2 linked regions of the Notamacropus eugenii genome follow. The protein of the gene in region 1 purifies or fractionates together with the protein of each later gene. This does not show direct contact. Links are inferred from orthologs where the notes say so. Each region holds a gene or a part of one and is shown on either strand. Other genes may lie near its edges. The genes, in order: WAS and NCK1.

What was found.
Region 2: the proteins of WAS (region 1) and NCK1 purify together in Homo sapiens (affinity purification with western blotting; 4 studies listed by BioGRID and IntAct, with this or other methods). This does not show direct contact. The link is inferred for Notamacropus eugenii from reciprocal best matches to the Homo sapiens genes WAS and NCK1.

The regions. Positions count from the first base shown.
Region 1 is NC_092879.1:102,030,939-102,046,511, reverse strand, and holds WAS (actin nucleation-promoting factor WAS), read left to right. Parts: upstream 1-8,111; 5' UTR 8,112-8,172; coding exon 8,173-8,286; intron 8,287-8,474; coding exon 8,475-8,615; intron 8,616-8,699; coding exon 8,700-8,786; intron 8,787-8,937; coding exon 8,938-9,040; intron 9,041-9,363; coding exon 9,364-9,432; intron 9,433-9,530; coding exon 9,531-9,708; intron 9,709-10,454; coding exon 10,455-10,497; intron 10,498-10,590; coding exon 10,591-10,744; intron 10,745-11,021; coding exon 11,022-11,416; intron 11,417-11,639; coding exon 11,640-11,748; intron 11,749-11,887; coding exon 11,888-11,943; 3' UTR 11,944-12,068; downstream 12,069-15,573. Other genes in the region: SLC38A5 (sodium-coupled neutral amino acid transporter 5), read left to right, coding at 1,819-1,886, 1,966-2,035, 2,134-2,249, 2,347-2,420, 2,541-2,633, 2,731-2,815, 3,771-3,853, 3,957-4,015 and 7 more. UniProt on the Homo sapiens protein: Effector protein for Rho-type GTPases that regulates actin filament reorganization via its interaction with the Arp2/3 complex. Important for efficient actin polymerization. Possible regulator of lymphocyte and platelet function.
Region 2 is NC_092876.1:330,760,044-330,775,968, forward strand, and holds the start of NCK1 (SH2/SH3 adapter protein NCK1), read right to left. Parts: upstream 7,303-15,925; 5' UTR 7,005-7,302; intron 6,274-7,004; exon of another isoform or gene 5,983-6,273; intron 1-5,982. Other genes in the region: SLC35G2 (solute carrier family 35 member G2), read right to left, coding at 13,237-14,475. UniProt on the Homo sapiens protein: Adapter protein which associates with tyrosine-phosphorylated growth factor receptors, such as KDR and PDGFRB, or their cellular substrates. Maintains low levels of EIF2S1 phosphorylation by promoting its dephosphorylation by PP1.

The sequences.
Region 1 (15,573 bases):
TGAGGAAACTGAGGCAGACAGCAGTGAAGTGACTTGCTCAAGGTCACACATCCAGTAAGTGGGGCAGCTAGGTGGTGCAGTGGCTAGAGCACCAGTGCAGGAGTCAGGAGAACCTGGGTTCAAATCTCACCTGAGACACTTGACACTAGCTGTGCAACCTTGGGCAAGTCACTTAACCCCCATTGCCTCATCCTGGGTCATCTGCAGTCATCCTGATGAATATCTGGTCACTGGATTCAGATGGTTCTGGAGGAGAAGTGAGGCTGGTGACCTGCCCAGCCCTCCCTCACTCAAAACAAAGTCAAGTGCAAGTTACGTCATCATTTCTCTGATGCCATGGTCTTCTTCGGCAACGAAGGATGAGCACACATGAGTTGGTGCAGCTGTTCTGGAAAGTCAGTAAATTGTGTATACCTTTTGATTTAGCAAAAGCAATTTACCAGGCCAAAGCTCCAAAGGGATCAAAGAATGGAAAGGAAAATGAGCCAGATGGGCCAAAAACTTTAGAGCAGCATTTTTTTTATGGTAGCAAAAATATGACAAATGAAGGGGCTTCCCATCAATTGGGGAATGACTGAGAATGTCCTGGAATATTATTGTGCCACAGGAAATGGTGAAATGGGAAGTTTGTGAGAGGTCACTGAAGGCCAACACCAATTCTGTTTCTTTCCCTGATACCTTAAGGCCCATCGTGAGGGCTGTGCTTCAAGGGCTTCTGGAAAAGCTGGGAGCCACAGTTGGTATGATCATTCCCCAAAGCATGTGGGCACAAGGGTGTGTGGGAAAATGGCTCTGGAAAGTGTGTCCCGTGGTGGAGTGGCCATGGGCATCTATGTGGCCAGTGCCCCAGAAGGAAAGCTTGTCCACTTGGCTCTGAGGTTTCCGGGAGGGCTCGGGCCCTAACCAAGGACCTTGAGGCAAAGGGGCTCCAGGCTTGGGGCGGGAGAGAACAGCGCCCCCCAGAACTGCCACACTTGTGCCCTCCATCACAGGAGGGGCGTGGATGCCAAAGAGGAGGGAAACAGCTTGCTGCCCCAGAGAAAACGCGGGCTCCGGGCCGGGGGCGGGGCGCCCGAGGCCGGGGGCGGGGCCTGGGCTCCTGGCGGGAGGAGGCGGGAGAGGCTGAGGAGTCGGCCACTGAGCCCCGCCAGCGATCGGCCAGACGGTTCGGCCTCGGATCCCGAGGGAAACCAGGGTGAGCGAGCCCAGGGGGAGCGGGCGGGCGGGCGGGCGGGCGGGGGGCCGGGGCATCTTCCGCCTGCCCCAGCTCCTAGCTCCGCCCGATGCCCCTGGGCTCTGGCCAGCCTGGGCTGTTCCCCCCCATTTGTGGCCCTGTCCCCCCATGCCCCCCATCCACGGCCCTGGCCCCCCCAGCCATGGCCCCTCATCCGTGACCCCCATGCCCCCCCAGCCATGGCCCTGCCCCCCCATGCCCCCCCATCCGCGACCCCCATGCCCCTCCATCTCCCCCACCCTATCTGTGATGGCCCTGATCACCCCCTGCCCCCTCCCACCTCCTGCCTCCCACATGCTTACTCGAGGTCAGATACCAGTCTAGGCGCTGAGAACTTAGAAAGAAAAATGAAACTGGCCCCGCTCTGGAGAAGTTTGCGCTGTGTCTCAGTCTCTCTCAGGAGGTTGCATCAGTCCTTGTGTTTCCAGACACACTCCCTTACACATGGACAGAATCATGTGCCTACAGCTTGGGGATGGGGACAGCCTGCCTCTGAAAGGGGGGAGCAGAGGTACAGGGAGCTCCTTTCTGTCCTCCAGCCCTATCCCAACCCCTACCTAGGCCCAGCCTCTCTCTCTTCCAGGATGGAACTCATGATGGGGGAATCTAGGATAAATGGCTTGGTCTCCAGGGGGCCCCCAGAGCCTGAGCAGTAAGTAATGCACTGGGACTGGGGAGGCCCACTTGGCCCGACCCAGAAATCCTCAGCCAATCCCCTGTCCCCCCTCCAGATCCCAGGCTGAACTAGCCGGCTTCCTGGCCCGGCCCCCCCCAGGGAAGAAGGCAGTACAGTTCTCTGATGTGAGTGGCCAGCCAATCCCCTTTCTGCCAAGCTCACCTTCTCCCCATCCATCTCAGCTCCTCTGGGTCTCAGTTTCTCTTCCTGTCCCACACTGCAGTTTGAAGGGAAGACCTCTCTGGGCATGTCAATCTTCAACCTCAGCAATGCCATCATGGGGAGTGGAATCCTAGGGCTGGCCTACGCCATGGCCAACACAGGCATCCTGTTCTTTCTGTGAGTCCAGCCTTGAGTTCTGGGGGCAGGTTGGGTCTTTGGGCAATGCACAGAGGGTTTCCCCACTGAGCCCAGCCCCATTTGCTGCCTCCCCCAGAGCCCTCCTGTTGTGCATGGCCCTCCTCTCAGCCTACTCCATCCACCTCCTGCTCACATGTGCTGGCTTTGTTGGTGAGTTCCTTCTTCCCTCTCTCCGTCAAACAAACATGTCCCCTCTGTTCCTCTGCCTGCCCCTTGGACCATCCTGTCCTCCTCAGCTCCTGATCCCCACCAATCCAATCCCTTCTACAGGAATCCGGGCATACGAGGAGCTGGGGCGCAGGGCCTTTGGAACATCTGGAAAAGTAGCTGCAGCTGGAGTCATCTGCCTGCACAACATTGGGGGTGAGGCCATACAAACTGTTGACACGGAGATGGCAGGGAGAGGGATCTAGGCTTGTGGAGCTGATGTGGCCCAAGACTGAACCCTCCCTCCTTTCAGCCATGGCCAGTTACCTGTACATCATTAAGTCAGAGCTGCCCTTGGTCATTGGGACTTTCCTTGGCTCCCAGGTTACCGACTCCAGGTGAGCATTCCCCACACACACACACATGCACACACACATGTGCACATGCACACACACACATGCACACGCATGCACACACACACTCGGGACTTCCCATTACTGATCTCTCTAACCAACTCAGTTCTGTGCAGAGATGTCTTGTTCTCACCGCAGTCGGGTTTAGCTCAGCTTTCAGTTGCGAATGTCCAGAGTCACATGAAGCTTTCTGTCCAGTGGTGAGTGACCAACTCGCCTTGTTCCAGCTATCAAGCTGGGAGCTTCTCACCAGCTGCTCTTGCCAAGCCAGCTGTCCTGATTTCACTGTCAAGCTGTGACTGTCTTGGCCGTGTGTGAACAGCTATTTTGGCCTGACTGGCCAGCTGGCCCAATGAGGATGTCTGGCCACCTCCAAGTGACCGGCTTTCTTGCTCAGGAACACTCCTATGCACTCATTTTCATCTTGTCATCCACTCTTCTCTCAGACTGGGAGACTGGGGCAGCAGAGCACGGGGAGTAGGGTCTCTAGGAAGCCTAGCCACCAGCCCAGGCTGGATCAACGCTTCTTTTCTGCAATATCCCTACCAAGTGGGCCCCAACCAAAAGAAGAGGAGGCCCCCACCTCCCCAGGCAAGCTTTACCACTCTGGGCCACCTCCCAGGGCTATGGAGCCTTTTCCCAATGGACCTGACTGGTCGTGCTGGGCCACCTGTCTCAATTTGGCTGTTCTGCATCAGAACTCAGTGACCATCTGTTTCAGTCATTTGACTGGCTGTTTTGGCCTGCCTGCTCAGCTGGGAGGGTTTTGCCCAGGGGTGTCAGTGACGGAGAACGAATGTCTGTCTGACTCTGACTGACTAGGTGTGGGTTTCGGTTTGTTTTTGTGGGAGTGCTGCCTGAATCAGGACATCTGCCTGGGATCCTCAGGCTACCTCAGCCTCCCAGCCTGTCTCTTGCCCACCCCTGATATCCTTTGCAGGCCCTGGTTCCTGGACGGTAATGTTCTCATCATCCTCGTCAGCATTGGCATCATCCTGCCCCTGGCCCTCATGAGACACCTGGGTGAGTCAGAGAAGAGAAACTAAGCTCTCTGGGGGATGGAAAGGGATGGGAAGGAAGAGGGACTGGCTCTGAGGGCCCCAAATCTAACCCTCCCCCTGCACAGGGTACCTGGGCTACACCAGCGGCCTCTCCCTCACCTGCATGGCCTTCTTCCTTGCCTCTGTGAGTTTTGAGGGCCTCTGAGATTGGGGAGGGGGGACCTCGGGATAGGAAGCCCACCCCATCTATCTCTGCTCCCACCCCCTGCAGGTGATCTATAAGAAATTCTCTATCAAGTGCCCCTTGCCTGATGTCAACCGCACCATGGAGACTTTCAAGAGCCGCAATGCCACCTGTGAAGTTCAGCTTTTCACCATTAACTCCCAGGTCAGACTGCCTTCCCTGCTCACCCTCCCTCACCTAGCTACTCACCCAGCCTGCTGGGTGGCCCAGCGCTGGGCACCTGGAAGATCATCCCCACCCCCATTCTAGGGAGGACCAAACTGGGGTTGAAAAAGAGGCTGGGGAAAGTCCTTCTTGGCATCTGCCCAGTTCCAAGAAGACCAGACACCCCCAATAAGGGGACAGAACAGAGTTGGGGGAGCCCATTCAGGGAAAAGTCACAGGAGGGACATCATGCCTGCCCTACTGGTTCCAACCCAGATCTCCCCCCAGACAGCTTACACCATCCCCATTCTGGCCTTTGCTTTTGTGTGCCATCCGGAAGTCCTCCCGATTTACACTGAGCTGCGCAGGTACAGAGGGATGCCAGAGTTGCATGCTGGGGAAGTCAGGCCAAGGCTTGGGATGATGATGGGACCTGGACACTGGGGATTGAGGAGCCAGGGCAACAGAATGGATGGGGGGACCAGATGAAGCTTCAGAGGAATGCAGACACATGACCTTTCTCTGTCCCCAGGCCATCACAGCGCCGGATGCAGGCTGTGGCTAACATGTCCATCGGGGCAATGTTTCTTATGTATGGACTGACAGCAACTTTTGGTTACCTCTCCTTCTTTGGTGAGAGAAGGAGGGAGGCTGAGACCTGGACTCAGGGCCAAGGGAAGTGGGGAGGCTTGCAGGTGGTGGCTGGCTTCCTACCCTGGGTTGACGTCTGTGTGTGTGTGTGTGCATGTGCATGCACATACTCGTGCACATGTACACACATGTGTGTGTGTTTTTGCCCACCTTCCCAGGCCACGTGGAGGCAGAGATGCTACATATGTACAGTCAGACAGACTTGCTGATCCTTTGTGTGAGACTAGCTGTGCTCATGGCTGTCACCCTCACCGTCCCTGTTGTCCTCTTCCCGGTGGGTGTGTGTCTGGGCAGGGAGGGCAGAGAATAGGGTCAGGCTCCTGTGGCCCTCCTTGACTTCTGCGTTATCTTCCTGCCTCTAGATCCGCCGAGCTATCCAGCAGCTCCTGTTCCCAACCAAGGCCTTCAGCTGGGCCCGACATGGCACCATCGCCCTTGGGCTCCTCACCTTGGTCAACGTTCTTGTCATATTTGTGCCCAACATCCGGGACATCTTTGGAGTCATTGGTCAGTCTCCCCTCTTTCCCCCACCCCTCCCAACTGGTGCTCCCAGAGGGCTACCATGATTGCCTTTCCTTCCTCCCAGGAGCCACTTCAGCCCCCAGTCTCATCTTCATCCTTCCCAGCATTTTCTACATCCGAATCATCCCAAGGGACCATGAGCCCTTGGCTTCTCGCCCTAAGATCCAGGTGTGGGGGCAGAAGTACCTATCAAAGAGCAGGGATCAGGAAGGAGAGGCAGCGGGTGGGAGGCGGGAGGAGGATGAGAGCCGAGGCCCAGGGGAAGATGGGAAGAGCGTGAGATGGCGCTCAGTCCTTTAGCTCTCCTTCCTGCCCCCACAGGCAGCCACCTTCGCGTCTCTGGGCATGGTAATCATGGCCATGAGCTTGGGTTTCATCTTCACTGACTGGGCTGTGACAGGCCAGAGCAAGGGGGCAGGCCACTGACCCAGAAGCCCAGCTGGAACCTCCCCCACCTCGGGACCACCATGTGCTGGCAGACATGTGTGGGGAGATGCAAGAGACCCTGAGTGTTTGTGTGTTTGGGCGGTAGGGGGGACAGGATTGGGGGGAGGAGGCCTCCTGGGGCTGAGAACAATCAGCCTGCCTTCCAGAGGAAGGGCCAGGCTGGGCTGGGTTCCCTCTCCCTGCAGGGATCAAAGTCCCTGGGAGGAAGCAGCCCTGGAGGGGCAGACCCCAGGCCTGGTATCTGTGGACCCCTTCCTCTGATGGGGGGGGGGAATTGACCTGTTGGCTTCATGTTTGAGAAAATGCAAAGAATAAAGAGAATTTGAGGATCCTGGCTGTTGTGTGGTTGTGTCTCAGAGGACCGAGATGTATGGGAAAGGATCCGTGTGGCAAACTTCCTCATTCCCAGAATCCTCTGCCTGCAGGCCTTCCAGGTCACTTGGAACAGCCCTGGGTTGGAGGAAATGCCCCCAGTGGCTGCTCCTGGCTCTGCTTTTGGCTTCTGGGCCCTAAGTCATTTAGAATCCTCAAGAAGCCCAATTCTCATGTCCCCTGGCCCCTTGATTCTCTAGGATGGCGTAGACTCCAGGCTCTTGGCCAGTCAGGGTCCTTTCTGAAATATGGTTCTTATGGTTTTGGGTCTGAACCATCACAGCTACCATCCCTTTCCCCACATACCATATCCTGGATATCACAGCCCATACCATACACATGTGTGCATATATACACACATACACAACATCACAGATACCACACTGCATAACATACACGTATGCACACACATATACAACATCACAGACACCATGCCCCATACCATACGTGTGTGTGTGCACATGCGCATGCACACGCGCATGCATACACACACACACACACAGAGGATTTCTAGTAAGTGAGTTTCCAGCCCTGTCCCCCACATATTCCTTTGCTGGTTCTCTGTCCAACTGGGTCTCTCCCATCCGAGGTCCAGTGTCGTCACTCTAACCCAAGATCTTTCTAAAGCTTTGCTCAGAGTGTCAGCAGCTTTCCCTCTGCTTGGTGTCTTTTGCAAATTTGCTAAATACCTGGTGTGTGTGTCCACAAATATTCAACAGGACAGGACCAAGCATAGATCCCTGAGGCACTCCACTGCAGACCTTCCAAGTTGAAATTAGAACAAATAGTGACTCTTTTAGAGATCCTGCTAATTCCATATCTAACTGACTCAACTCCTGCACATCTCCCTGGCCTGGACACCCACCTGTCTATGGTCTGCCAGTCTGCCAGTAGACTGGTCAGGAGGGGAAGTGGGCTCAGTCCAACATGACCCGTTACTGATGTTGAGGAAGCCACACTAATTCTTCATAGTGACCACTGCTGCTTTTTCTTGAAGTTAACAACCCTCCCTTTATGAATGCATTCTTGAATTTGGCTGGGACCACTAGGTGGCACTGCAGTGGAGAGAGCCCTGGACCTGGAGTTAGGAAGAGTCATTTTCAGAGTTCAAATCCAGCCTCAGACACTTCCTAACTGTGTGAACCTGGGCAAAAACCTTAACCCTGTTTGCCTCAGTTTCCTCATCTGTAAAATGAGCGGGAGAAGGAAATGTCAAACCCCTCTGGGATCTTTGGCAAGAAAACCTCAGATGGGGTCACAAAGAGTCAGGCATGACTGAAACAACAACAATGAATTTGATCAGGAATCCAAGCTCACTGATCTATCTTGATCTAGCAAGTAGAAGGTTTTTGTTGTGATCGTCCTTCATTGTTGGAGAAGATCGAGCCATCAGAGAGATGATGGCATGACTTGCACTTGACTTTGTTTTGAGTGAGGGAGGGCTGTGTGAGGTCACCAGCTTCACTTCTCCTCCAGAGCCACCTGAATCCAGTGACCTGATATTTCTCAGGATGACTGGAGATGACCCAGGATGCACTGGGAGACCTTGGGCCCTTTAGGCCAAGGTCTTTGCAGGTACTCACTTAGGGTGAGACAACACCCATTCATTGAAAGTGGAAACAGACAAGAAACCTAGGTCTTTCTCCCATGGGACCTATTCCAAGAACATCGTGTTTTCCTTGTTAAGGCAGAGATGGGGAAAGAGCATGAGCACACAGACCAAGGAAGACACAAGGTGAGAGATAAGAGGGCTGCAGAGAGAAAGGGGAGACAAAGTGAGAACAAAATCAGGAGGGAGGACCAGGCCAGGCCAGGGGCCCCAGGAGCCCATGGGTTGGGCTTGGGGCAGTGTGGTTTTCTTGGCTTCCTGTTCACTGGGTGCGGAAGTTCCCCTTCTTACCCCGTCACTGGGGCTACTTGGGAAGACCAGGCGAGGAGGAAGGCAAGAAAGGGCTGCTGCCATGAGCCGAGGGAATCGGGGAGGGCCACCGCAACACCAACAGAATGTTCCCTCCGGTCTTCTGCAGGATCATGAGAACCAGAGGCTGTTTGGCCTCCTGGGCCGAAAGTGCTTGGTTGGTGTTTGTCAGCCCTGGATCCAGAGAATCACCACCGCCCCCCACTCCCTTCTATCTGCTCTGCTGGGAACCCTCCTTCAGGAAACGGGAGGGGGCGGGCGTGCTAAATCCCAACGTTCTCAGGTCCCTTTCAAGTCTCCACTGACCTGGTCTCTCTCTTTGTCTTGGGGGCTGCCTGGAGACAGACTCTGGCAACCTCAGTGGCCCAGCTGTACCTGGCACTACCCAGCACTGGCGGGCGCTGGCAGAAGGAACTGAGTGGAGCCATTTGCTTTGTGAAAGACAACCCTCGTCGTTCCTATTTCATCCGCTTCTATGGCCTCCAGGTACAGGCCAGAACAAGGTCTCTTTGTAACTGTCGGTCTCATGCTCTGTGTCACTCTCTCAGTTTCTTTTTACCCCCTCCCCAGGAAGGACGCCTCCTCTGGGAGCAGGAAATCTACACTCAGCTTGTCTACTCTGCCCCCACCCCATTCTTCCACACCTTCCCCGGTGATGTGAGTAACTGGCCAAAGGGGTGTGGGTGCTGGGATGATTCAGGGGTGAGGATCTAGGGGTCTGGTGTTTGATGGTAGGTGAGGCACTACCTTGAGAAGTGGAGCTAACCACTTTGGGGTGGGGGAATATGGGCATTGGGACCATTCCCAGGACTGCCAAGCTGGTCTGAACTTTGCCGACGAGGCTGAAGCCCAAGTCTTCCGAGCTTTGGTGGAGGAGAAGATCCAGAAACGAAGCCAGAAACAGAATGCTGGTGAGAGTCAGGGCCATGAGTAAAGGAGAGGAAGTCTCTCCAGTTCCTTCTCATGGCCTTCTCTCTCCACATGTCGCGCTCTTTTTTCCAGTCTCAATTTCTGTCTCTGTCTCCCATTCACTCTTATTCTCTGTCTCTCTGTCTCTCTGTCTCTCTCTCGTTCTCTCTCTCTCACACACACACGCACATGCACACACACATGCATGCACGCATGTCACCTTTCTCCTCCCTGTGCTCCAGATGATGTCCTCTTGGGGTGGGTGCTGAGCTGGGGGAAAGGCTGGACAAGGGAAAGGTCATGACCTGTGGTCTTCACCCCACAGGATCTCTCAGCACAGAAAGAAGAGGGGGCACTACGCCCCTCCCTCCCCAACCCAGTGGAGAACTCAGTGGTAAGCAAGGGGAAAGGGCCAGACAGGAACACACAGCTGTGGGTCTGGACCTTCCCACTTGAATCAATCTCCCCCAATTTGTCCTCCTCCATCTCTAGTCCCAGCTAGTACCCTGGGCTCCCCATCTTTGGGCCTGGTTGCTGTGGACATACAGAACCCAGACATTACATCCTCAAGGTACCGGGGGCTCCCCGCTCCAACTCCTCCCCCGGACAAGAAACGCTCAGGGAAAAAGAAGATCAGCAAGGCTGATATTGGGGCCCCCAGCGGGTTCAAGTGAGGCCTTCCCCCACCCCCCCAAACTCTCCAGGGAGGATTTAGCAGGTGCTATCCAAACCCTGCCCTCAGCAAGCATCTGCTGTAATCAGCATGGGCCCATTGGAGGAAGAGAGCCCGAAAGACTTTCCAGGGGGCGGTTCCAGGGGATGAGCTCTGGGGACAGCTCAGAGAGCAGAGTGTACAGGGAGGCTCCTGGGGAAGGGTTCAGGGCTCTGGGTTAGCCTCTCAAAGCCAGGGGCCTGGGGAATTAGGAGGCTGTCAGTGGCCTTGGAAGGAATTGCAAGGCTTGGATTTGAGCTCAGCTTTAGACACTCAGGCAGTTGGAGATGGAGTCTGGCATCAAGGTGATACTGGCAATCTTGGAAGGAGAAGAGAGTCCAGGCCAGGACTTCTGGGGCTGCCCCAGTTTTGGGGGAAATGGGTTCAGGTATCCTTCGATGGGCAGGCCATGTCATGGAAAAGGAGGAAGGAGGCGAAGAAAAAGCTTGACATGTCATTGATGACCTTGCGGGGAGCAGGTTGCAAGGGGAACGACAAAGAGAAGGGTCACATAGGACAATAGGGATCTGAGCTGGCCTCCAGGCCCCAGAGAAAGAGCTGGGGGAGAAGGAGGGGCTGCTCACCACAGTGGTGAGGCTTCCAAAAGGCTGAAATGGACATAGGGGTGGAACTGGGGCTGGGGTGATGGGAATCTGGGGAGCGGGAGATGCCTTCACTGAAGTTCTGTCCTGTGCCCTCTCCAGGCATGTCAGCCATGTTGGATGGGACCCTCACAGCGGATTTGATGTACGTCCCTTCTCTTAGATCCCCCTAAGCCCTCCCCCGGGATTTAGGATTGGGCCTTAGGGTGAGTAGGACCTGTGACCCTGCCTCCAACAGGTCAACAACTTGGACCCCGACCTACGGAGTCTCTTCTCCAGAGCTGGAATTAGTGAGGCCCAGCTGACTGATGCGGAGACCTCCAAACTCATTTATGACTTCATTGAGGACCAGGGTGGGCTAGAGGCTGTCAGAGAGGAGATGCGGCGACAAGGTGAGCACCTCTCCCCTGACCTTTTGAGAGTTTCAGCTGAGGGCTCTGGAAAAACCCCATCTAACCCTAATCCTAACCCTAAATGTACTCCGATTCTAACCCTTCATGAAAACTTCCAAATCTTGAGCCCAGAGGCTCCAGCCCTTCCCTGCTAGTTCTTCCTAGGGAGATCTGGAGGTGGGAAGGGGTACAGGGAGAAGGGTTAGAGGAGGAGGATGTATTTGTGTACCCTGCCTTCTAACCTTTTGCCCTATTCTTGCCCTTCTGGTGTCTGTAGGCCCTGTTCCACCCCCTCCACCCCCATCTCGTGCTGGGCCCCCTCAGCGGTCCCCTGGCTCTTCTGTGGTTGGAAGCCGGGGGGGTCGGTCAGGACCCCTCCCCCCTGTGCCCTCTGGGCCAGGTGGGATCCCTAGTGGACCTCCCCCAGTTCCACGGGGACCCCCACCTCCTCCTGGCCGGGGGGGTCCCCCACCTCCACCACCACCTGCCTCCCACTTGGGGCTTCCAGCACCCCCACAGCTGCTGCCACCAACCTCTGGAGCAGGGCCCCCACCACCTCCACCACCACCACCACCACCTCCACCATCTGCACCTTCATCTGGGGGGCCTGTAGGCCCTAGAGGTCGGGGAGCCCTGCTTGAAGAGATCAGACAAGGCATTCAGCTCAACAAGGTGGGGGCTTGGAGGGGGTGAGAATCGCTGGATTAGGGATCTTTGGATCAGGATTGGGAAGAGGCTATTGGGGGATCCTGGCGGTGGTACTGAGGCAAAGGGAAAGAACATGAAAGATGGACAGAAGGCCAAGATGGGAATGCAAAAGGCTGGGATGGGGGTGAATATGCTTCAGCCTGGTGTGCTGAATTTGAGATTTTCACTGGGTCTACCCTCTTTGCAGACACCAGGGGCCCAGGAGTTCCCAGCTCCCCCACCCCCAAGCTCTGAGGGGCTGGTGGGGGCCCTCATGCATGTCATGCAAAAGCGGAGCAAAGTTATCCACTCTTCAGGTGAGAGGTGAAATAATCCCCAGCCTTCCCCTCTTCCCAAGTGCTGGAGCATGGTGGTTGGTTGGGTGGGGGGGCTGTGTGTGATCATGGGACTCTGGCCCTCTTCACTCACTTATTCTGCACCCTTGTTCACTCACAGATGAAGGGGAGGACCAGGGGGGTGAGGAGGACGAGGAAGATGAATGGGAAGATTAAGGAATCACTGGCCTGGCCAAAAACTGCCCCCTGCTGCCCGCCCCCTGCTGCCTGTCCCCTGCTGCCTGTCCCAGAATGTGATAATAATGGAAGAGTTTAGAGAAATAAATTTCCCCCTAAATTCTGCTGCGCCTGTATGCCACAAATTTGGGTGTGTTGTCTCACTGTTTTCACTCTCTGACGAAATGAGCAATTGTTCCAGTGATGTGCTCTCTGACCTGTTCATTCTTTAGGATCCATCTTTCTGCTGCCCTTTAGTGATTGGAATTTTTGTTGCGTCATGATCTGAAAAGTTCTTAAGAATCACAAGGATCATCTTCCTGTGTTGGGACACCAACAGTTCAGCCTCTTTGAATTTCTGATGTTTTCTCTTTCCTTTTTACCTTCTCATTCTGCTTTTCAGTCTTTTTTTTTTTTTTTTTACTCAGCTCTGGTCTTTCACCAGGAAAGCTTGGAAGTCCTGTATTTCCTTGGGTTACCATTTTTTCCCCTGACAGATTATGCTCAGTTTCACTGGGTAGGTGTTTCTTGATTGTAATCTCAGCTCCTTTGCCTTCTGGAAGATCATATTCCATGCTCTCTGATCCTTTAACGTAGAAGCTGCTAAATCCTGTGTAATCTTGACTGGGCCTTCATGAGATTTATATTGTTCTTTTATTTCTCTCGCTGCTTGCAATATTTTTTCCTTGACCTGGAAATTCTAGAATTTGGCTTATCTGGGAGTTTTCGTTTTGGGATTTCTTTCAGGAGGTGACTGATGGATTGTCTCAATGTCTATTTAACCTTCTGGTTCCAGGATATCAGGGTACTTTTCTTTGATAATTTCTAAAAGTATGATGTACAGGCCTTTTTTTTTTCAATCATGGCTTTCAGGTAGTCCAATAATTCTTAAATGATCTCTCCTGGATCTCTTTTCCGGATCAGTTATTTTTCCAACGAGATATTTTACATTTTCTTCTATTTTCCCATTCTTTTGATTTTGTTTGATTGATTCTTGATGTCTCATGGAGTCATTAGCTTCTACTTGTCCCGTTCTAATTTTTAAGGAGTTATCTTCTTCAGTTAGCTGTTTAACCTCCTTTTCCATTTGGCTAATTCTACTTTTTAAGGAGTTGTTTTTTTCTTTAGGTAATTTTTATGCATCTTTTTCTATTTTGGGGGGCTTTCTTTAATCTGTTGACTCTTTTTTTCATGATTTTCTTGCATCACTTTCATTTCTTTTTCTAATTTTTCATCTACCTCTCTTATTTGATTTTCAAAACCCTTTTTCAGCTCTTCCAGGAGTTCTTTTTGGATCTGAGACCAATTCACATTTTTTGTTTGTTTGTTTGAGGCTTTGCATGTAGGTGTTTTGATATTATCCTCTTCTGAGTTTGTGTCTTGATCTTCCCTGTCATCACAATAACTTTCTATGGTCAGGTGTTTTTTTTCCATTCTTATCCTTTCCAGCCCATTTGACTACTTTTAAAGTTAAGCTCTGCTCTTGGGGTGGGATGCTGTCCCAAGTTTCTTATGGTGGGGGTTATAAGCCCAGGCTGCTTACCTGGTGTTTTGAAGGTGCCATAGGGAATCTGGTGCTGAGCTTAGTCCGTGGAGGTGGGGGGAGACTGGCTGCTCACCTGGTGCTGCCTCAGGGCTGCTGTGAGGGAGGTGGGTCTGGCCACTTGCCTGGTATTTTACTGGGATGGGGCAGGAGGTGGGGGCCTACATGTGGGGGAGGGGTTGGCTACTTGTTTGCTGCCATATTGGGGCCTTGGTCACTGACCTGCCCTGGGGCCTACCCTGAAGTCTGCTTCCCTTTTCCTGCCAACCTTCCAAGTTATCTTGGCCTAGAAAATTCTTTCACCCGATTGTTGTTTCTGCTGTTCTGGAATTCATTTCAAGACACTATTTGTAGTTGTTTGGAGATGAATTTGGGAGAATTCAGGCAATTTCCTTCTTACTCCATTATCTTGGCTCCTGGAAGTCCCTGTACTCTGTTAATAATAGACACTATGTAGCTACAGAAGCAAGTTTGCCAAACAAATTCAGTCATGGAGGTTGAACCGGTGGAGCTGGGTTACAGAGAGGACCTCAGTGTTCCAAGCAGGGAGAGGTTAGGGTTAGACTCGGATCACTGATATTCCAGAAACATCACTGTGAATTTCAATCAAACGACACCTACTCCAGTGAAGGGCATGGCTAGAACAAGAGGGAGTGTGGTCTCTGACTCTTGGTCAACTTTTTGTCCTTGCTGAACAGTTCTGCAATACCAGCCGTCAGTCTCCAGCACTTGAACACAGACAAATGTTCATCTCAAAAGTAATAACCAAGATGAGTGAGGTTGAGAACAGCTTTTCTCAAGGTGGTTCTAGTAGAAGTTTAGATTAAAAGTTAAAGCAGGTTTTTAAGGAATGTACAATGTTGTTCTGACACCATTGTCCACGGAACGCCTTTTCAGATGCATGTTGGGAGACCTGCTTTTGGTCAAAGAAACATGCCCTAACCGAACCCTAAATGCATTGGGCTCCTTTTGTTTACTCTCCTCTAAGGCAGGTAGTTTTAAACTTTTTTTTTAAATTAATGGGAGGGCAGCTGGAGGGTGGATACATTAGCAGCCTTGCAGTCAGGAGGAGCTTGTCCCTGAATTCCTCCAAAGTAAAAAAAAGCAATCAAGTTCATGGGGCCAATTAGGAGATGCAACACAGGCACCTTCAGATCTGGGTCCTAAACTTGGAGGCCTTACTGACTTGTGTTGCTCTAAGCAAACTTGTTCAAGAAATGAGAGAGAGAGAGAACGCAGAGGAAACCCTGGAAATCTCCAGGGCCTCCCAGGAGACACAAACTTCATCTCCATAGCAATGGCGCAGACTCTCTGAGCTCTGCCATTGCAGCAGAGCAGAACCTTGCTTTGGGGCGGCCGGTGCCGGGGACCTAGTGAAGGTTCACAACACCCTTTACAACAAGTACTTCGCTTGACTCTCCCAGCAACCCTGGGAGGGAGGGATCTCCATTGCCCCCATCTTACAGTTGTGGAAACTAAGGCAGGCGGAGGTAGAGTGATTTGCCTGGGCTACGCCTTTAAGAAGTGTTTGAATTCAGGTCTTTAGGTCTCTGCTGCGTCCATAGTGTGACAGCCTAGCAGCTCCTGAACATGGCTGCAGACAATATTGTCCAAAAGTCACACAGGATCCCTCATCTGGAGGTGGAAAGAAGGGGGGAGATCTACTCCAATCCCTCATTTTACAGATAAAGAAACTGAGGCCCAAAGAAGAGAAACATTAGGGTTACTTAGGTTGTAAGAAGAAAACTCTGCATTTGAACTCAGCACTCTTTCCAGTAGACAATGCTGTCTCCCAAACATTTGATGAATGAATTGATGACTATACTGTTCATGCCCACTGAGGAAAGCAAGATGACACGTTCTCGGAAAGCCCCCTCGAACCGCCCCATCAAGGACAGAGGCAGAAGTGAGGCACTTGGGCAGGGCTCATCCCAACAGAGGCAGAAGCAGAGACCAAGAAGGGCCGCAGCATCCTGAGGGGTCATGAAGGTCTTGGCATGGCACGCCCCCTGCTGGACGCCACCCCAAGAAGCCAAGGCCAGAGCCAGGAGGTCCAGCCTGTTAAAGTTGTGAGCGTGTCTGCATGA
Region 2 (15,925 bases), on another chromosome or scaffold:
TCTATGTAATAAGATTTTCTATAGAATGGCAAAATCTCAGAGTTAAAAGGGTAACCAGAGGCCATCTTATTCCAACTCATACCCGAATAAAAATTCCCTCATACAGTCAATGATAAAAAGAAAAGGTTCCATATGCCACAAAATATTTACAGCAGCATGTTTTGTAGATCAAAGAACGGGAAACAAAGATGCCTATCAGTGGAAGAATGAATGACTAACAAACTGTGGTACGTGAATTTAATACAATATGATCAATTGCTATAAGAAACAATGAATACAGAGAAGTACAATTAGACTATAGTAATATAAACTGATGCAAAATTAAGTAATCAGAACCAGGAAAATAACATATACAGCTACAACAATGCAATTAGAACAAAAAACACTGGAACTATCATGGTGTAATAGAAAGACTACTGGATTTAGAATCAAAAGACTTGTGCTTGAGTCATTCCCCAATTGATAAATGGTCAAAGGATATAAACAGGCAATTTTCTGATGAAGAAATTAAAGCTACCTATAGTCATATAAAACTGATCTAAATCACTACTGATTATAGAAATGCAAATTAAAACAACTCTGGGGTACCACCTCACACCTATCAGACTGGCTAATATGAGAAAAAATGAAAATGATAAATGTTGAAAAAGATTGGGAAAATTGGAATGCTAATGCATTGTTGGTGGAACTGTGAACTGATTCAATCATTCTGGAGAGCACTCTGGAACTATATACCCAAAGGGCTATAAAACTGTGCATATACAAGATACAGCAATATCACTACTTGGCCTATATAGCCAAAGAGATCGTAAAAAAGGGAAAAGGATCCACATGTACAAAAATATGTATAGCAGCTCTTTTTTGTTATGGTAAAGAACTGGAAATTGAGAGGATGCCTATCAATTGGCAAAACGGCTGAACAAGTTGTGGTACATGAATATAATGGAATACTACTGTTCTATAAGAAATGATGAACAGGCAGATTTCAGAAAAACCTAGAAAGACTTAAATGAACTGAGTGAAGTGAGCAGAACCAAGACAACACTGTACAGTAACAGCAACACTGTGCAATGACCAACTTTGCTGGAGTTAGCTCTTTTCTGCAACACAATGATCTAAGACAATTCCAAAAGACTCATGACTAACGTGGAAATATGTCTAATAGGATCATACATGTATAGCCTATATCAGATTGCATGCTGTCTGGGAGGAGGTAAGGAAGGAAGGAGAAAAAAATTTGGAATTCGAAATCTTATAAAAGTTAATGTTCAAAACTATCTTTCCATGTAATCGAAAAAAAATAAAAGACTATTAAATGGGGAAAATTTTTTTTAATTTAAGAAAAAAAGATTCATGTTTGAAACCTGGCTTTTCAATTCACTACCTATGTGACCATGGACAAGTCATTTAACCTCTCTGGGTCTCGGTTTCGTCACCTGTAAAACAAGAAGATTGTTCCCTAAGGTCCCTTAGCTCTACATCTATGATCCTATGAATACTACAGAATTATAATGACCAAGCTGGACCCCAAAGAAGAGACATGAGGTGGTGACAACTTCCTCTTTACTTTCCAGAGGAGAAGGAATATGGGTATGGAGCACTTCTATATGTCACACTTTAGGTTGAATTGTTGAACTGCTTTCCTCTCCTTTATTCTTTGCAATAAGGGTGGCTGTCTGGAAGGAAGTATGATCAGGGATATATTGGGAAATATAGTGACATTAAAAAATATATCAATGAAAGTATCTAAGAAAAAAAATTATCCCCTCTACAACAAGTGTTCATCGAGCATTTGCTTTTAAGATCTCTAGCGAAGGGAAACGCAGTATCATACCTCCTGAGGCAAACCATCCTACTTCTATAATTCTAATGGGAAAATTTTCTATTACATCCAGTAGAAATCTACTTCTGTGCAACCCTTGCCCCTCCATCACTCCTGCAACACTGGAGCAACACTGGACAAGCAAAACAAGCCAAATTCCTCTTCTCTACGAAAGTCTTTCTCCATGCTAAGAATACCTAGTTCCTTCAAACTATCTTCTCACTGACACTACACTAGTTGCTGTATTCTACATACTGTTCAGTTTATCAATATTCTTCCTAAAATGTGATGATCAGAACTGAACATATCCAGTTGGGGTCTGACTGGGGCAAAATACATGGAAACTATAAGTTTCTTTATAAATAGCATGTCTCTCAATGCAATCTAAGACTGAATTACATTTTTTTGGCAGCTATAACATACTTGAGCTATATTGGTTTTTCAGTACTCTAAAATCTCCAAACCTTTTTCAGATGGTCTCTTCCCTACAGGTGGGAACTCTTCAACTGGAAAGTAATTTTGTGTGCAAGGACCATCTCATCTTCATATTTGCATTCCCTGGGACTACTCCAGTTCTGTCAAGTGGTAGACATTTCATAAATGCTTATTAGCTTTTTCCTTCAAAAATAGCCAATTCAATCACAGTATCTCAGCCTTAGCTCAGGGTTTTGAAAATAGCAGATGCTTAACAAATGTTGGTTGAATTACCAAATTCTCATACAAGGTTGTGAAAAGAAAGGCACACTATATGCTTCTGACAGAGCTGTGAACTGGTCCAGTTATTCTAAAAAGCAACTTGGAATAAATTATTCTTATCTTTTGAGCAAGATATTCCACTATACACCAAGTAAATTTCTAACACATCAAAATATGTTCACCATTATTTTTTGCGGTATCAAAGAACTGAAAAGAAAGTAGATGTCCACCAGTGGGAGAATGACTAAACAGACAGTATATAAATGTATGGAATATTACTGTGCTCAAGGAAAGAGACATATAAGGAATACAGGAAAACATAGGAAGAAATTTACAAATTGATGCAAAATGAAGAGAACCAGAAAAACAATACACAAAATAGTGACAACAGCATACAGAAAACTATAAGAGTCTAAATGGAAGGACAACAAATTGAAACTGAATGCCCGTAATTGTAATGAAAAAGTCTGACCCAGAGAAGAGATTTGGGAATCTTTCATTTCTTTGAAGACTAGGGGTTTATGGGGTATGGACAACTACATACAATGTCAGGTTGAATGAAATATTTCTTGATAAGTTTTCATTTTTTTTCCTTTCTTTTTTACTCTGGAAGAGAGGCAGGGAAATAAAGTGATACAAAAACAAAGCATCCAACAGTTTTTTTTTTAAAGAAAAATTTTTCTGTTCCAAACACAGGTCATGGTGGCCCAAATAAGATACTATTTATAAAGTTATTAGCATGGTGCCTGACACATGGTAGATGCTAATTCCTTCTTCTCTTCCCCAATCCCACCAAGGTCTCCATCTCCCCTCAGGGCTGAAAAAAAAAGTGGGCCAACCCAGAAACCCGAGAAATTTAACTTAGAACAACAAAAAAAAACAAAACTATTTCATCCTTGGAAGACCTAAGTAGCATTACAAAGAAACCAGAGGCAAACTGTGAGCTTTCACAAACTAGAGCAGATTACCTTCCTTCAGAAGTGATTTCTTTTTAATCCAGAATGGGCAGAAAAATGAAATAGAAGACCTTTTCTAAGTCCCACAGATCCAAGAAAGTGTATTGTAACACTGATAAACCATCAATAGAGCTGGTAGACTTTTCAGAGATGGGCATGAAACAACTACGGAATAATCTGTGGCCAAGATGAACTAGGGGCTGTTAGGTGACACAGTGGATGGAGCAGAGGGCCTACAGTCAGGAAGACCTGAGTTCAAATTCGGCCTCAGACACTTGCTAGCTGTGTGACCCTAGGCAAGTCAATAAACTCTGTTCGCCTCAGTTTCCTCATCTATAAGATGAAGTGGAGAAGAAAATGGCAAACTACTTCAGTATCTTTGCCAAGAAAACCCCAAATGAGGTCACAAAGAGTTGGACAAGACTTAAAACAACTGAACATCATGGAACAAGATGAACTGCAACAGTTTCCTATCAATAAACTGATCTCATATTGAATAGTTACTATACACTAAGAGTTGTTGAGATATTTAATAGTGCTTATATGTAAATACAAAAATTTTCTTTGTGAATTGCCATACCTTTGAACTGCAGTCTTGTTAAAGATAGACACTTTGGGAAATCACATGAAAAACACTGGAGGAGGAGGAAAAGGAGGAGGAGGAGGAAAAGGAGGAAGAAGAGGAAGAGGAAGTCACCACAGTTCCATAATGTATTCTTTAGAAGTAATAATAAACAGAGGTTTACAGTTTGTAAAGATCTAGGTGCTTAAAAATGATTCAAAAATAAACTATTAATTAACAGGGTTTAGCACAGAGCCTGGCACAAAATAGGTACTTTATAAATGTTTGTTGTTTGACACTAAATTCAACAGAAAATTAATAAATTAAATAAAACTACTTGAGATTTTTTTCATATATGTTTCTATTCCTATCTTCTGCAAGGCCTTCTAGTTTTAGGATCATAAATCATAAATGGAGAGCTGGAAAGGGCTGTAGTTTTTTGGACAATGAAGTCTAAAAAATCAAAATAAATTCCCATAAGATAAGCAGATAGTAAGTGGTAGCTTCTGAATCGAATCCAGCTCCTCTTGTTTTCAATCCAGTGCACTGTTTCCACTGCAACATGCTGTTTTCGACTTTAGGCACCTATCATCTAGAGTTACCTAATATCAAGGTAGGGCTAAAAGTACAAAACCCCATCACTTTTAAATTATTCTTTTGAAAATGCTACTGTTTCTTTCAGGACTGCTTTGGTAGAGTTCTTAGTCTACCTAAGAACTAAATCATTTTTCCCAGTTCCTCTGAACTTTAGTCTACAACCCAGTTCTTGTTGCTAAGCTTAACTTTTATGTAAAGACACACACAAATCGCAATAGGTGCACCAAGAGCACCTATCAAATGACATTCCCAGTCTACGCTACCAATTAAAGCACATGCCTCCACCAATGAAGCTTTGTGGCACCATTTCAAAGACATACGCCTTCCACTAGTGATGGAAGTGATGGCTCGGGATCCCCCAACACAAGTGAACAAACAACAAAAAAGACTCGGGGAGAAGGAAAAGCCCGTTCTGAAGGTTCACAAGTCTCCATGAGGTGCCCAACTCCCTTCTACCGTAACAAACTTATGGGAGCTCCCCTATCATCCCTACCCTCACCTTTTCCCTTCTTTCTCAGGGTACTAAGCTATACTTCTGACTTTTAAACAGACGTACAACAGAACTTATCAAAATCTTCCCTCATCACACCTCCTTTCTTAAATCCTCAACAGCTGCCTTCAGAGCCTCGTGTTTCACTTACGTGCCAAGATGAAAAGTGTTAATCTGGGGTCTGTGACTCTAGCTGTCTCAAGAATGTGTTTCTAACTGTATTTAATATAACTCCGGTCTCCTCTGCAAATCCTGTGTTTTTCATGCATTTAAAAGGATTGTTCCGAGATGAGGTCCCAGCATGCTGATCCCAAAGGGGCTTACAAAAAGGGGAAGGACCCCTCACCTAGACATTGTCTTCGCTGTAGGAAAAGAAGCGGGGGCTCTCTGCTTTTTGGGGGGTCGGGGGGTGCTACGTTTTGTTTTTTCACTCTTTGCATCTCAGGCTCTTACCGCAGAACCCAGCCCTAAGTAACTGCTTGCTGACTGACTGACTGACTGACTGACTGACTTGCCTCCAGCCCCCGATGCTCCCAGACGGGCGGCGGCTGGGCACCACCGGCCGCCTGGACTGAGAGCGACCGATCCTGAGGGAGGGAGGGACAGACGAATGGATGAACAGTCGGACGGGGCGGGGGAGGCTGGCCAGGAGGAGCGTGCGGGGAGGGAGGGCCCGCAAGGAGACCACAGAGGGCGGGGGGAGGGGGAGGGAGGATGAGGCGAGGACGGGAGGGGGCGGGGAACGGCCGTCCGCCGTCCGGCCGGGAGACTGGCTGGGCCCCCAGCCCTGCCCTCCCCCCACCCGGGGCCAACCTCAGGGCAGCCGGGCTACCTGCCCGCGAGCCGGCCCCGCACTTACCCCGCAGGGCCGCCGCGGTCGCCGCTCAGCCGAGGAGCAGGAGGGAACGACGAGGAAGCCGCTGCCACCGCCGCGGCGGGGATGGGGGAAGGGGGAACGGCCGTTACCGGGCAGGAGGCCTCGGCGCCGCCGCGTAGCTCGGGCCCGAGAGGGAGGGGGAGGGGCACCTCGGAGAGAGGGAGGGAAGGAGGGAGGGAAGAAGAGCGCGCACGGGCGCGCGCACGGTGCCCACCGGCCCCCGCCTGCGGCAGCCTCGCTCCGATCCGTTGGGTCGGCTCCTCCTACTTCTCCCTAGCTCGGTACCCCGCCCCCCAGGAAACTCCCTCCTGGCCGCCGGTGATTGGCTCAAAGACGCTGACTCGAGGAGCGCTCCGAGAGCGGGAGGGGATTGGGCGTAGCTGTCCGTCAATCAAAGTCGCCGGGCACGCGCGCGCTGGGAGGGAACCCACCGGGTGGCTGGTGGCTGGGGCTTGGAGGGCCAGATGTCACTCGCTTGCCTTGTACCTTGCCTCGCGGTTGTCGGGGTGACCTTAAGAGCGCAAACCGAGCCAGGGCAGCAAGCCGCTTCTTCGTGGTGCCCTCGTTGGGTCTGCCCGTTCCTTTGGGCACCTAGCCGCCTCCTCCCCGGTAGTGGCACCGCTGACCTTGGCGGCTTCTATGGCAACTTCCCTTCCGGCTCGTGTCCGGGCTGGGCGGCCGCCGCAGCGCCGTCCGCGAGGCCCAGAGGCTGCAGCACCCTGGTTCTGGGACCTGGGAGGGTCCGGAAGGTCCAGTTGTTTGGTGGAAAGTATAGATCGCGGGGATGGAAATGGGAACCCATCTTCAATTGGGCCGGAGCAGGCGGGCACCCTCCTCCCCCCGATCTCGTGGGCCAGACCAGCCACAAAGACGCGAACCCAAACCATGAGGCTGCGGTCCGGGGAGCTTTACTTCTCATTACCTCCGATCTAAACAGCCACTTCCTTTCTGGCTTACAAAAGAAAAAAAGAGTCGGGGGGGGAAGACAAAGCCATGACACTCACCTGACAAGTTAAAAAGCCGTCGGTGACTTGGGCATTGTCTCCTCTCGGTGTCTCACCTGGCACCTGTTGGGGGGGTTTCCACATCGTCTCCCACAGTCCTGGCTCGCATCCACTTCTTCAAATTCAGTGGATACCACTGCCTGGGAGACAGTACCGCACTAAAGGCACATGTTGAAGGGATTTAGCCAGAAGGGCCTTAGAAATCATCTTCGCCAGCCCTTTTCATTTTCTAAGTGAAGAAACTAAAACCTAGGAGGTTAAATAAGGCACCCAGGTATCTGATCCTGAGTCAAGTTGATGAGCATTTACTAGAGGTCAACTGTGTGTGCTAGGCACTGTGCGAAGGGCTGACAGTCATCTGACTTCCTCTCTGTCTGATAATTGCCAAGATTTAAACCTACATCCCTTGGAATCTTGTAGTTCCTCCACCCCACATCAGCCCTCACAGAAGCAACTAGGAAAGAGATTAATCCTGCTAAAGTCTGGTTTCAATTTATCTCTAAGCTTGTTCTTTCTTGATTTTCTTTATTTTGCCCCCATCTCTTTTTCGGCACCCACACTGGAATGAGACCAGAAGGGCAAAGAAAAAGGGGGAGGGAGGGGAGAGATGGCAAAGCAAAGGGGAAAGCAAAAAAAGGAGATAAGGAGTTATGTAATGAATACCTTCACTGGAAATGTGTAATACTTGAAAGTATTACAACTATTCTGGGGTAAAGACCTCTCTAGAGTATTCCCTTCCTCACCGATGAAGCTTAATTATCTTTTGTTGGTACTTTTCCCTTCTCATATTCTTCTTAAGCGTGTTCTGTATTCACAATATATCAGAATCTTCTTCCCTAGTCAAGAATAGTGCCATTTGGGTTAGGAAGTAAGGGCTGTCTAGAGAGTCAGAGTGGTTGGAATCCCAGCTAAAGAGAAGCTTTGTAGAGTTGTAGGCAATGGATCATAAATCTAGACCTCAGAAGGTGCCTCAGAGGGCCAGCGAGTCTAATATCCCCATTTTACAGATCAGAAAACTGAGGACCAGGGAGGGTAAGTTATTTGACCAAAATCACGTAGACAGTCCAAAAGCATTTATTAAGCATTTACTATGCCAGGTACTGTGCTAAGTCCTGGGGATATATAGAAAGAAAAAAAAATGCCCTCAATGAGTATATATTCTAATGAGAAAGACAACATGTAAATAACTAGGTACATGAAAGATATAGAAAGAGATGAAGATGAGCTGAAAAGGGAAAACATCAGTGGCTGGGGAGTTGGGGGAGAAGGTCAGGAAAGTCCCTCACAAGGTAAAATTTGAGCTCAGTCTTTAAGGAAGTCAGAACTACACTTTAGAAAAATTACCCTAGCAGATGAGTGAAACTAAAATGGGGAGGTACTTGAGACAAGGAGACCAACCAGAAAGCTATTGTAACCCAGGTGTAAAGTGATATGATCCTACATCAGGATGAAAATTCTGTGAGAAGAAAGAAGATAACATGTACTGTAAGTGTAGAAGCAACAAGATTGGCAGTGTATTTGGATTTGAGGAATGAATGAGATCAATGTGTTGAGAATGGCCAAAAGGCTATAGGATAGATGGGATGAGGTCCATTGCTATCCATAAGCGGCAGGAGTTAGGAAGGTACAAAACGATTCCTCCTGATTTCTCCCTGCCTTGAATTACATAGTACATTTGACCTTTTTATTCAGAGGTGGGGCCACTGATGACAGTTGCTAGTAGCCAATTAGGACTAAATAAAGGAGTCTCAATATACACCAAAATATTTATTGCATCACTGTTTACAAAGAACTGGAAGCAAAGTCATCGAATGCGAAATGACTAACAAATCATAGAAGATAAGTATAATGGAATCTTACTATTTCATAAGAAATAGGAATATGATGACTACAAAGAAGCAAGGAAAGCTGTTATACAGAGTAAAGTAAGCATAGCCAAGAAAACAATATACACAGTAACTACAACAATGTAGATGAAAAGAAAAACCACCACAAAATAACTGAAAATGAGTGTTGTGAAATTACAAAGAACAAGCATGGTCCCAAAGAAAGAGACATAAAACATTTCCTTCAATTCCTTTGATGAAATAGAAAGTCCACAGGTGTAGAACCTAGCATATATTTTCAGACCTTTTCAATGTATTATTCAGTTTTGCTAATTGCTTCTTTTATATCTTTTGTTGTATGGGATGGCTCTCTAGGAGAGGCTAGGGAAGGATGCTAGAAGAAATTTAGGAGATATAAAAACAAAGATATATTAAAAAGAGAGATGTGGGTAAGCGGAAGTAACTGAAGGAACTAAGTGTTCTAGGAAAACAATGAGGATGGGTGAATTTTGTGGAACTAAGGCCCTCCCTTACCTGATGTTCTTAAAACCCTATGATGAAGTAGAGAGTAGCCTAGCAATAATAAATTTAAATCCTATGTTTTGTAATATTACATTTTAATGGATTTTGTACCAATTAATTTCAGTTGTAAATTTTTAACATTTGAAAACACTATAATATTTATTTTATGTGGTATAATACAACAGGTATATATATATATATATATATATATATATATATATATATATACATATCTATAGCCATTTTAAAAAAAAAGATGCCCCTCCTACCTAGTGTCCTTTTCCTCCTCTTCTTTTGACTGTCATATTTCTCCAAAAGTTGTCTGCTGTTTCTATTTCTTCCGTCATCTATTCATTCCAAAACCCATCAAGGTAATGAAAAGAATACTGGACTTAAATTTAGGCAACACACTTTCAAAGTCTAGTTCTAACATGTTACATGATTGTGAATTCAACCTCTCAGAGCCTCAGTTTCCCCATCCATATAGTAGGGATAATAATTCAATTATTAACCCTCACAGAATTGTCTTGAAGAAAGTTCTATCCAGGTGTAATTATTACCTTCTGCCCTCAACATTCTGCTCTAACTAATCTCTCAAAGGTCATCAATGATCTCCTAAATGTTATATCTAATGACCTTTGATCAGGCCTCAAACCCAGTTTAAGCTTCAACAGTCAGCAAAACTCTCCTCCTACTATCCTATTTTTCTTCTTTCTGCAAGGTTGGAATAGGCTCCCTGCTCTCCTCTGCATTATAGAACTTAGCCATGCTCATTGTTTCAGTTATAACTTCTATGTAAATGGCTCCCCAAAAGAGGTTTCTAGGCCTGACCTCTCCTCTAAACTACATGAGTTTCTCGCCATCACCTCAAGTTCAAGACTGCTTTGCTCATGGTAGGCATATGCTTAATAAATGTTTGTTGAATTGAACTGAAAATGAATTTATCATTTTTCCCCAAAAATTCCATTCCAAATCTTCCCTACTCTTATCAATAATACCATCATTTTTTCTCTCATGAAGACTTGGAACCTCTCTCTTGTCACATATATCCAACTAAGCACTTAAGTCCTGTGATTTTTTCCTGCCTAATGTCTCAAAAAAAAAAATAACTCATTCATATAAGTTTATATAAGATTTACAGAGCACTTTTCCTACAATAATCCTATGAAGTAGGTAGTATACTTAATATTATCCCAGTTCTACAGATCAAGCTATGACACATAAAGTTTAAGTGATTTGTCCAAAGTTACATAGCTCGTCATAAGTGACAAGGAATTGGAATCCATGGATCTCTAGGTCTTAAGTTCAGTTCTTTCCTGTCTTTTTCATACTTTATCATAGAAGCATAAGGTCATAGATTTAGAGATGATAGGGAGGACCTTAGAGGTCCTCTCATTTTTACGGTTGAGAATACTGAGACCTAGAGGAGTCAAATAACTTTCTTGAGGTCACACAAACACTAAGTTGCAGAGCTAGAATTGGAACTCAGTTCTTCTGACTCTAAATTGTCCCACTTCTGAATTATATTAATAGTCATCCTAGCTAATTTATAATCACAGAATTATAGAACTGGATAGTAAGCTATGAAATAATGTATTATGATCTCTTCACTTCACAGATGAAGAAGCTAAAGTTCAGAGAGCCTATAATGGTCAAATGTCCCAACTAGTTAACCTTAAATCAAGGACCAGAACTCAGCTTGTCTGACTCCATCCCAAGTTTCTTCCATCATATGAAGTTATTGCTTTAATGAATATGTTTTGTTTCCCAAAGAAGACTATTGACCCCTTAAACACAGAGCCACACTTCTCTTATTCTTGCTTGTAGACTTCATAATACCTAGCATGGCTCAATAAATAAATAAATATTGTCAAATTGATATCTATTTGATCAGCATTTGTTGAGTGATTAAATAAATGGACTCTTTAAAAGTTCATAAATTAAATTTTTTGAACATACAATTTAACTTGAGTAGTAAAGACATCTATTCAGAAGAAATCTGTGGTGGATCCCTCTGTTGGTGTTGCTCAGTCATTTCAGTTGAGTCCAACTCTTCGTGAACCCCACTTGGGGTTTTCTTAGCAATGATACTAGAGTGATTTGCCATTTCTTTTTCCAGCTCATTTTATAGATGAGGAACTGAGGCAAACAGAGTTAAGTGACTTACCCAGAATCACACAACTAATAAATGTCTAAGGTTGAATTCCAACTCAGGAAGCTGAATCTTCCCCACTCTAGGCTCTACACTCTATGCACTGTATCACCTTTCTGCCTAGTGATTCCCTTTATAGAGTGAACAATCCTTTTGTAAACTTCAGATATTTTACACATTCAGATTTTAGTATTAGAAGAATGATACTTAAAGCAAGACCTCTGCATTCCTTTCCCTACTGGCTCAGACTCCAAAGGGTGAGAAAATCAATAAGCATGTATTAGTTAAAAGTGTCTTTAATATACCTCATTCAGAAGAATGTTGAGTTTGTTGTTTTATATTTTTATTTATTTAAAGGTCCAAGGAAGGAATGAGTTTTCAAAATTAGGGGGAGAGGGGGGGCACAGATATCATCTATCTTAACCCCTTCATTTTACAGATACAGAAGCTGAGTCCCAGAGAGATTGTAACATATCAAAGAAGTAACCAGTTGGCATAAGTACCCAACTCTCTTGACTCCCAGTTCATTGAGTTTTCTATGACCTCATTCTGCCTCTGTGAACTCAATTGTCAACTGAAAGTTGAAATGAGCAGAATTTGAATATCTGAAATAAAGCATTATTATGGCAAGTCAGACAACCCATTAATTATTGTAGAATAAAGTACACCTCTGCATTCTCATTTCATTTTCAAAAAGTCAACTATGGGCTGAAATTTAGTTGTAAGGTTTCTACTATTATTGATTTATCCTACCCATGCAAATCCAATAGACAACCATGTTTTAAAGGAATTAATAAGAGTAGAGAACAAATGTATTATGACACATTAATATACACCTTTGAGACTTTTTGGTTCCCCTGAGGAAAATCTTTAGATAACATGCCACATTAATTTACTCCTTTGCCATTTCCACTGCGGGCACCTCTGCCAGTAGCTTGGAGCACTCCTTCTGTTGCAAGGTAAGAGGGCAGTAGCCAGGAGAGATTTGTAAACCAGTGAAGCTAAATGGAAAAGAACACTGCATTAGCAATAGGATGGTGCATCAGATCCACAAAGTCTGAGGAAAAACTCAAGTATGCTCCACCTCCACTACTCATGGCAACCCTGATAAAGGAAAGACCAGGTTTTTGCTGTGATGTTTACTTACTATAACCAAAGTTGAGTCAGTGAAAAAGCCTTCCTTCTCCTACCTTTTGACCCCAACCACACTACCTCAGTTCCCCACTTTGCTACTGCCAACTTCCAATGTAATAATGCAGATCAGGTTTTATAATTAGAATCTCTTTTTATAGACAGGTTTTCCAGAATGTACACTGTGCATGTGAAGGGATTCAGGTTTAATGTTGAAATAACTATAGCTAGGAAAAGTGTCATAATACCATTTAAGTTTCTTTAATTTATAAATTTCAATAACTTAAATTTTCTTAAAAGGGAAAATTTTTATTAGTGCAGAAATTGATAACTAAGGCTAGCATATTTTTCTATCAGTTATCCCTTAAATAATTAAATAGATATTTTTAAGAGACCAAAGTTCACAGTATTTCATATATTTAATATTTGCATTTATGTGTTAGACTAATATAAATCTTTCTACATTTGCATATTTTTCCTCTTTTTATACCTATATATTATATAGAACTCTGTCCATTATACAACACAAAAAACATTGATACATGAATACAACATGGCAGTGCACATAATTGAACATGATTCAGAAAATGAAAATTGAGTCTCATTTAATGGGAGAATCTAGTATCTCTTGATAGTCCTCCCTTTTTAACTTTCTCCAATAAAGTTTATAACCAGCAAGGACAAAAACACTAATCATGATGATTGCCCCTCCAAAGACATCATAAACACTGGGGATAATATGTAGCACTAGAAGCTGTAAGATCATTGCCACCACAATCTCAAGGTGTTGTACTGTGCTAACCAGAGCTGGATGGAATTTATCTAATGCATAATAAACTCCCAGGAAAGCTGCAGTAGAACAGATGCATATGGCAATGAGATATCCCCAAGTTTCTCCATCTAATGGGATGATGGGTTCTTGAAGAATGAACATAGTGGATACTCCCCAGACTGTCCCAGTCCAACCAAAGGTAAATAAGGCAGTCCACATACTGATCTTCTCCCTGATGGACCTGTATACTATCATGGAAAGAGCAGTGGTCAGTCCTGCCATTACTGTCATGGTGTACCCAAATGCTTCTTTCCAGGCATTCAGCAAAGAGTTTTCTTCATCAACAATGTTGGGGATCATGACAAGGCAAACACCCAAGATACTGCTGACAACTGTAGCCATATCAATGTAAGCCATTCGTTCATCTACCAGCAAAAAAGCTAAAATAGCACTAAATACAGTGGTTGTTGCTCTCCACATAGTGGTTCCATTGCTGGGAGGAACTATTGAGAAAGATGTATAAGCACAGGTGATAGAGATGACATTGCATACCCCATAGAAAAAGAGTCGCAGTCTATATCCTCTGGGTCCAAAAGGAGACTCTTGGTAGTAACACACAACCAACACAGAAAATACTTGTAAGACAGATCGGATGAAAATCAGTTCTAGAGATGGCACTTTGGAACGGTCAGAAACAAGTCTAGTGATAAGGGCCACACATCCATGAGCCAAAGCAGATCCAAACAACACTATCCAAGTCTTTCTAGACTGAAAAATATTTCTTTCTGCAAAGCTCTGGAATTGTTCAATCTCATTGACCTTTGGGTCTTCAGTTGGTGGGGTTCGACTATCCATGGTCCCAAAGAAAGTTCTTCCTTTTCTTTTCACCTCACTCAGAAGTCCTTTCTTTGGATTTTCCTCCATAAAACTTCCATAATCTTCATTTATTTCTTCATATCCACTATCTCCTGGTTGGGGGTAATGAGAAGTATATTGTACCATCACTGTGTTGGGGTGTATTTTCACACGTTTTTTTACAGGATATTTTTTGGAAGGAGAAGTATCCATGTCTTCAGATAAATGTGTCTACACTTGAATAAAAAAAGAAAAAAATAGATTTACACTTTTGCTCAGTTGCAAATTTAATCAATATGACACCTACATATCAATTCATTGGTAGAGAAATAGCTCTTATAGAAGAAATGAACTGGCAGTAGTAGAATTGCGTAAAAGTCTCTAGCTAAAGTTGCCTTTAAGAACCATGAACCCCATGGAATGAGCCACCCATTTTCCTCCACCTATCTTAGTTGTCTCCTATAGTGTCCTTTAGCACTGTAGATCTTTCTTTCTTTACATTAATAATTCTGGTCTACCTTCAAACCTTACTTGTCTAATCATTTCCTTACTAGAAATTATTCTCATTCAAAATTCTAGTCTTACCTTAGCTGTCCTCCCCCCCACCCACCCTGCAAGGAAAATAAGTTTTAAAAATAGCAAATTATATCAAACCTTTTCTTTTTGCTGTTGGGTCATTTATGTCTATATTATATATTCCAAATGTCCAGTCACTCTGTCATTACTTCATGAAAACATTGAATATACCAGGATTATACTTAGGATATCCATAAAGAAATCTTACACCTGTGAATGTTGAATAACTAATTATGATATTTGTATGCCTAGTTCCCCCTAGTAGATTCTACTTAGTTCACTGGATTACGGTGACATGATCAGACTCATGCTCTAGGAATATTACATTGGTAGCAACGTGGAATATGGATTTGGAAAATATACAAGTTGTATCCCTCCTTTAGAATGTAAAGTCTTAAGGCCCAAGTCTTCTTCTTTTTGTTTCATTTTGTTTTATAATTTGTATTCCCATTGCCTAGCACAATGCCTTGTAAGAATATTTAAGAACCAATTAATTAATCAATTAGTAAAAGATTTCAGACTAAGTGCCAAAAGTCCTTGCAAAACAATTAGATAAACACAATATGTTTAGATTTGCTGAGGAAACCTGCCTGCTAAGTCAACACTTAATAAACAAATAATTTTTTTAAATAGAATTGTACTATGTGTGAAGCATTGTGAAGAACAATCAAAAACAATGAAAGCTTCTGTAGTATATTCCATTGAAATGTTTTATATGTGATCTGGAGTGTCCCATTATTCATTACATATTTTATTATTCATTATTCATATATATTGTCTTATTGGATTGTTGTTAATTATAAGAATTATAAAAAAGCTGGGAAGAACTGACCTAGGAAGCAGTGTGATACAGTGGAAAGACAAGGATGCTAACTCAGGAGTCAGAGGCCATTAGTCCCTTCAAATTCCATCCCAAATGCTGACTACCTATGTGACCCTGAGCTTCAGGTTTCTCATCTATAAAATTAAGATGTTGATGTTGGATGAAAAGGCTTCTGAGTTCCCGTCTAGTTCTACAACTGTGATCTTACTATCATTCAAATCTAAATTCTAAATTCAAATCATTCAAATTCAAACTGCTGTGAGT